Linked DNA regions of Xenopus tropicalis. The protein of the gene in region 1 interacts with the protein of each later gene in a biochemical or structural test. Links are inferred from orthologs where the notes say so. Each region holds a gene or a part of one and is shown on either strand. Other genes may lie near its edges.

Region 1 (3,827 bases):
TATTTCATTCATCCGTACTGTATATATTTAGGTGTTTATGAGCCACCAGTGAATAAAGTCTTTTGTGTTGTACAGTTTTCTCGAACCTTTATTTATTTGTTGAATGCAAATCATCCCCCATCAGTTCATGTAATTGCTTTGTCTAGGTCAGCAGGTCAGAAGGTACAGGACTGCTACTTCTACCAGATTTTCATGGACAAGAATGAAAATGTTGGGGTCCCCACAATACAACAGCTTTTAGAGTGGTCCTTTATCAACAGCAGTTTGAAGTTTGCAGAGGTTGGTGCCATCAAAACCAGTCAGATGAAGTTCTGTGCTGTAATTTTTAAAACCCAAGCTAAGGATGAGTTGACTGAATATTCTGTATAAAAGGCTCACTTAATTAGGAAGGACTTATCTTAGCTTCATGCTGTGTGTGTGCCATCCCACCGGCGATGGCAGGTGATGGCAACTCGGGGAGATTAGTCGCCCGCGAACAGGGAGTTTTGTTGCGGGCGACTAATCTCCCCGTGTGCCAGAGCCCTAAGAGTCAAAGACACAAGAGGATGGAGGTCCCTGCCCCGTAGAGCTTAAAATCTAGATGGGAGGGTAACTTACAGACACAAATAGGCAAATATAAGGGCTGTAGGTTACAGTGGGTGACACTGCAATATAAGTGCTAGTTCCCAGATCAGGGGCTGTGCGAGTGCTCCAAGAGGAAGTCTTTAAAGCTGGCCATACACGCACCGATAATATCGTACGAAACCTCGTTTTGTACGATATTCCGTGTGTGTATGGCAAGTCGGCCGATATCGCAGGAGGCTGCTGATATCGGTCGACTCGCCGATCGGCCAGGTTAAAAGATTTTGATCGGACGCCATAGAAGGCGCCTGAGCAAAATCTGCCATCAGGGCTGAATCGGCAGAAGGAGGTAGAAATCCTATTGTTTCTACCTCCTTATCTGCCGTTTCAGCCCTGAAGGTTAGTGGCAGATTGTACGATCGCAAATCACCACGTGTGTGGCCACCTTAAGTTTAGTTTTAAAAAGACGGAAAAAAGGAGGATTCTAAAAAGGAGGATTCTCTCTGGAGGAAGTCTGGGAGGGCATTCCACATGTAAGGCGCAGCTAGGCAGAAAGGTTTTAGGCGGGATACAACAGTAGTAGTGGGGGGCGCAACCAAGCGGTTGCTCTGTGAGGAATGGAGGAGTCGGCCAGGAACGTATGGAGACACAAGACACAGATGTAGTGAGTAGCAGAGGGATGGAGAGCCTTTAAGATTAAGAGAAGAAGTTTGTAAGATATTCTTTGTTTAATGGGAAGCCACGATAAGGACTTTAGCAGGGGAAGGGCCTGAACGCTCCTGGATGAGAGGAAGAGAATTCTGGCAGCAGTATTTAATACAGACTGTAGAAATCAGACATACGTTCAGGGAGAGATTATGCTTTTACAGCAGATTATGAAGAGATTATGCTTTTATAACCTCGGTAAATTTGGCATACCTTGCAATCCAATTAGGTGCCCTTTTAACTTTAAATGGTTCTTTTAGTGGTCCCCTAAATACAATTATTTAATTCAACAAACCCCTGCCTTTGGCACTACAACTGTGGTAAAGTAGTGTTTGTTGTTGCCCTATTGTTGTGGTGGCTATTATTTAATTATAAGAATTGAGTTACTTAATGCCATAAAGACACAATTCTAATTAAAAAAAAAAGTGTATAGAAAGCAGTAATTATTTATCACCCTACACTGTCATGTTCAGTAGTGAGTTATTAAGTTCAGTGAATCTGGTTAAATTGTATTTGTTTAGTTCTTCTGTCTTCTCTTTGGTCTTCAGGCTTGGCACATTGCAACGAGTCTATCTGTCTTGTTGCTGGTTTCGACACACAGAGCTACTTAGTAGCAGCTACTTGTTACAGCTACTAAAATATCCCGTAATAGACAATACTGAGAATTGCCTCTGCTTAAACACACATAGAAACAATTATCAGTAAAAGATCAGCATTGTGTATTATACTAGTCACAACAAGTAGCTGCTACTAGTAGCTCTCTGTGTGTTCACCCTTATACCTTTCAGTTTACCATATTTTTGGTAAACAGTATATATTGTTTGCATGTTAATTCACAATTCTCAAATTTAAAATGGTGCTGCTGGTGGTTTTTGGAATATGATTCTCAGAAATCCATTCTCTTCTCTTTTTTTGTAGGCTCCCTCTTGTTTAATTGTCCAGATGCCTCGGTTTGGCAAAGACTTCAAAATGTTCAACAAAATATTCCCTTCCTTGGATTTGAACATCACAGATTTACTGGAAGACAGTAAGTAAGATTGAGCTTTTTTGTAGCCAAGTCTTATGTTATACTATTTTAAAGATCACATTAAAAGCAGTGTATCAAGCAATTAGTTATTTTAAAGGAGAATGAAAGGCTGTCACTTGGGGGTGCCAAAATGTTAGGCACCCCCAAGTGACTTAAATCGCTTACCTTATACTCTGGGCTGGAGAGAACAGCACCAGCCTTTAACAAGAAAGGCGGCTTTTCACTCTACTGCGCATGCGCCGGCCCAGGGATTTTGCTTGCAGAAGAAAGAGGAAGGAGGAAGCGATCGCTCAAGGTACCCTGGGCTGGTGCTGTTTTCTCCTAACAGGGGCACCAGCCCGGGGTACAAGGTAAGTGATTAAAGTCACTTGGGGGTGCCTAACATTTTGGCACCCCCAAGTGACTTATCCTTTCCTTCTCCTTTAAGAATGTGTAAAAGCAGTACAAACACATTCCTGTAATTTGTCAATTGGTAATATGGTCAGTATCATTAGTTATGCGGTACCGCACTATATTTAAAACTAATAATTCAGCTTCTATACAATTTACATCTATATCTGTTAAGGTGCCCAAACACTGAAAGATCCCCCCCCTTTTTTTTTTTTTTTTTTTAGCAAGGGCACCAGATGAGTGGATCCTTCCATGGTATGCCCACATTGTAGGTCTCATTGGATCACATTGACTGGTTACAAGCCACTGGGACAAGGACTGTGCTGATGCAGTACTTTGCTCTGAATTTTTAAACCTGCTCAGTCGACATCTGCCCAACTTTATCAATTGGGCAGGCCCACCTGAGGGCCCACTAACACGGGCCGATAAGCTTCTGGCCATCTGTAGCATTGATCAGTCTGTGTATGGCCACCTTTAATTAATGGTAAAAAGTAAACCAAAACTTCTACAATTAATGGCACACCTATTGTTTTATTCAATTTGATCTTCTTGGGCAAAACCTGACATACAAATAACTAGAATCACTGACCTGACTGAACGTGATACTGTAAAAAAGAAATTCACTCCTATAGCACAAAAACAAGCTTAAAAGTGCCATGTAATCTACATTTAAATCACAGCAGGAATCGCAGCTATAGGTGTGCCACAGCCTTGAAGCTAAAACTGAACTGTTGTCATGAATGCTGAATAGGACTAGTTGATTCCAGAGACCGAGAACACAGTAACTAAAGCTCCATCTACTCTGTATATGTTCATAATGCTTCCCTTGCAGGAGCTGTTTAATATAGATTAATATGTACGGTGTGCAGTTGCATTGAAACTTTATATCTATAGCTCTGTGTATTCCAACCAAAAAGGGCTTGATGCACATCCTTCTGAATAGCTTCTAAGAGTTGTTTTAAAGCTTAAAAGTTGCAGGTTTATTGCAGATTAATAGATCATTTTCTTTTTAAATGTTGTTCTTCCAGCTCCCCGTCAGTGCCGCATATGTGGAGGTCTTGCTATGTACGAATGCAGAGAGTGCTACGATGATCCAGATATTACTGCAGGGAAAATTAAGCAGTTTTGCAAAATATGCAACACC
Region 2 (3,827 bases), on another chromosome or scaffold:
AAATATCTGTATCCTCTCTCTGATAAGCTGCCTGCATATGGGACAGGCAGTCAGGGAAGTGCTGCATTCAGTACAAGACCCATGTCCACACTGGAACACCAGCTTGATGTGATTGTCGATACAAATAGGACAGGTGATCCTTTCCTCCATTTGGCGGTATCGATTCTGGAGCTCCTCCATTACTTTCTTCTGGTCTGACACTTCTAAACTGGGACTGCATTCAACTTCAGTACTGTCTAGAGTTGGGAAAAGAAGGAATATTATTTGCATTGTGTGATGGCCCATGTGACTTAAAAAACAATTGCAGAGAAAACAAGAAATTAGTGATGGCGGAATTATTCATCCACAGCGGGGTGTGGAGTGTAGCCAGACCACAGACTTACTCCCTGAATGAGCATTGTAAATGACCCCTTATGGCATTTTGATACAAAATAAAGCAGGGATTGATTTAATTAAAAATGAGTAGAACCTGAGATAAATTTTTGCTATATCATAAGCCTCACAAGCACACAGGATAAGAGAATAAAGAGCAATAGAAAATAATTACACTTAGGGATTCCCCATTTCTTACCAGCACCAAAGAACTGTTGGAACTGGCCCAGAGCAACTTCTGAAGCTTCTGAAATGAATATGATCTATTCCACTGGGATTAAAGTATTAACTGGTTATATATTTTGTCCCAATAACAAATAAAATCATTCATATCCATTCTAGCACACAGAACCTGCATTCATTAGACTTAAGTGACTGTAGAATGGAATAGAATACATTTTGGTGCATGTGCATACAAGACAAGTTAATGTAAGTGTAGGACTATGAATATGAGTGTATAAGGGTGAGGAAGTGGGAACTTTGGTTCAAAGACGCGCAGTATTATTAAAGGAAAAGGAACACAATTAATATGTATCAAAGTAATGAAACTATAATGTATTGTTGCCCTGCACTGGTAAAAGTTGTGTGTTTGCTACAGAAAGACTAGTTTATATAAACAAAGCTGCTTTGTAGTAATGGGGGCAGCCATTTAAATTGAAATAGTGCTAAATAGCACAGGTTACGTAGCAAGTAACAGATAAGGTCTGTAAAACACAATTGTATTTTACAGAGCTTATCTGTTATGTAACCTGTGCTTTTTCTTTTTTTCCAGCTTAATTGGCAGCCCCTATGGCTACACAGCAGCATTTTTTTTTTAATATAAACTACAGGAATTTTTCTGCAGCCAACAAACAACCTTTACCAGTGCAGGGCAACAGTATGTTATATTTTAATTACTTTCATTTTATGGTGTTACTGTTCCTTTAATAGAGCATTATTCAAATCATCCACTACATGGAAAAAGTAGGACAGCACTGTTTTAATAGAACTACATGTTTGCCCTGTGACTACTGTACCATCTAAATGGCTTGAAATTACCCACCTTGCCTAAGCTTTCTTGCTATGCACACTTGACATTTGATGCACTTCTTCATTCGTCTGGAACATTCTGTGAGTGAAAAAAACAGACTAAAATGGCTCAAAACAACATTGCTATTACACTTGATAAGAGGCAGGTTATTTAAAGGATTAACAAAGCCAACATGTGAGATGCATTGTACTGACGGACTTCTTAAACATATATTTTAATGTTTCAAGAATGTTTTAGATAAAAAAAACAGAGCAAAGTTAACAAATGTTTATCTGTGCAGAACAGACCATCCACCCATATGTCTAGTGAAGAGAATAGTGGGCAATGAGACTGCAATGGGTAAAACTATAATACTATGGAACCAGGTCTAGTATACAATAGCACTGCTGTTTGGTTTGAAACAGGTGACTGGAACATGCTACCTGCTGATTGGCTGAACTTAACCTGGACAAAACCTTATGACTTTTATTACATTATTCCCAAGGCTGTATTGGAACGACTTCAAACATTTGTGAAAGAGACAAGATTTTAAGACTGACTAAATTTTAGACTGTTGTCTTTTACACTCAAAAATAAAATTATAAAAGAAAATGTAATTCAAAGGTACTTGCCAATATACTGTACAAGTTTTTCAGTGGTTTTAAAATTATTTGTAAATGTAATTGCACCTGAGAACAGTATCTGTGCCCTTTGCTATTGTCTGCACTAGTAGTTTGGACTATTGAAACAATGTAGCAGAAGCCAGATTATAACAACCCTGGGAACATGCAAGGCAGTGAGATAATAGAAGTCAGTGCAGAACAGGACAGATAGACACTGCTTTCATTTGCAGTTACATTTACTACACAAAATGTTTAATGAATGTAAATTTGAATGTTGTTTATATTTATATATGTTTTTCATTATGCAAAATGTCTAGGTTTACATCCCATTTAATGAGAACAATCTTATTTTACATAATGCAGCAGTGCCATCTGCAGGACCTAATATCTTGGGCATGTCTCTTTTTCCCTAAGCGTTGGAGGTTGCATCAGAACTAAAATAAAGACATAAACATATAAGGAACTCTTTACGCGGCTGGGTTTCTGTGCAATTCTATAGGGCACAATGAGCAGCAGCGTGATTTCTGGTGTTTCTTTGGGAGTGATTTTTTTTAGCTGCCAATATAGAAGTTGTAAAACAATATTATATGGTATATTATAACATGGCAGTTCTGGCAAAAGACAAAACTAGGAAACCAAGACATCCTTATTAAGTCATGACAGCACAATTACTTACATTGATGATACCTGGAAGTTTCTCTTACCTTCACATACTATGCTGTGTTGGCAGGGGAAGAAACTGACTAGTACGGCCAGCTCAGAGCATACTAGACACTCTGCAGGACTGGCGGCACTACAGGGGCTAAGGTTAGTCATAGTATTAGGTGTAGTGTGGACTCTGCGGAGGCTGCAACTGACGGTTGGTGAGTCTAACTCCACTTGTTCTCTAAAGAAAGAAAGGATTATTAAGAATATTTTATTTTAAAACAGAGGGTGGTGGTAGAAAGTATCCCTCCCAGCTGTGTGATAGTATAAAAAACTAAACCAAATCATGGCTACAGCTGAATTGCATACATGGCTGTAAATGATCCATTGCTGGAACATTGTCAGTTGTTTAAAGCAATGATAAGTCAAAGGAGAACCTTCTTTAGTATTTTTTTGTCTCATTGAAATAATAAACTGTGAGACTCTGGTTGATAATAATGGGATGTGATCAGCAGTGATCTTTTGGATTTCCCCAAAATTCATATGTGCCATTAGCCGTATAACTGGCAATAATCTGCAATAAGTGTAACTCTCTGTACAGTGAGCTGATATTATTGCATGTGATACATGGAAACATAAGAGGTCCTGCACTGGAAAAACCTTCTGTGTAGCAGTTGGGGCAGCCAGTGTAGATGATAGAAAATGGAGATAACACAAGTTATATACAGATAAGCTCTTTGGAATATATTGGTGTTCTACAGAGCTTATCTGTTATAGGCTATATAACCTTTGCCATTTAGTGCTACTTCACCTTGAATGACTGCCCCAAAGGCTACACAGCAGCTTGTTTATATAAACTATTGTAGGAAACACAGCTTTTACCAGTCTAGAGCAAAAATACATAATATATATATATTTTTTTGGTGTTACTGTGCCTTTAAGTTTACTGTATGGTAAAATGGCCCTTTGGTACCTGAATTTCTGTGCAAAGTTTTTCACAAGGTGCGTTATCCTTCCATCTGCGATCAGGTCCAGGGGAGACTTCCCACGGTGATTGGCATAGTTAATGTCAGCTCCAGACAGAGCTAAAAAGCAAGCCATGGCTGAACCAACATTTAACTCTATATTTCCCGGCAACCCAGAGGCCTCCAACTGCAGAAATGAATAAAATAAGGATA

What was found.
Region 2: of the proteins of cyld (region 1) and mib2, one has a biochemical effect on the other in vitro, tested with the Homo sapiens proteins (2 studies listed by BioGRID, with this or other methods). The link is inferred for Xenopus tropicalis from reciprocal best matches to the Homo sapiens genes CYLD and MIB2.

What each region holds. Positions count from the first base shown.
Region 1 is NC_030680.2:51,209,422-51,213,248, reverse strand, and holds part of cyld (ubiquitin carboxyl-terminal hydrolase CYLD), read left to right. Parts: intron 1-146; coding exon 147-279; intron 280-2,184; coding exon 2,185-2,293; intron 2,294-3,711; coding exon 3,712-3,827. UniProt on the Homo sapiens protein: Deubiquitinase that specifically cleaves 'Lys-63'- and linear 'Met-1'-linked polyubiquitin chains and is involved in NF-kappa-B activation and TNF-alpha-induced necroptosis.
Region 2 is NC_030683.2:92,207,678-92,211,504, forward strand, and holds part of mib2 (E3 ubiquitin-protein ligase MIB2), read right to left. Parts: intron 3,802-3,827; coding exon 3,623-3,801; intron 2,891-3,622; coding exon 2,709-2,890; intron 1,481-2,708; coding exon 1,415-1,480; intron 237-1,414; coding exon 1-236. UniProt on the Homo sapiens protein: E3 ubiquitin-protein ligase that mediates ubiquitination of Delta receptors, which act as ligands of Notch proteins.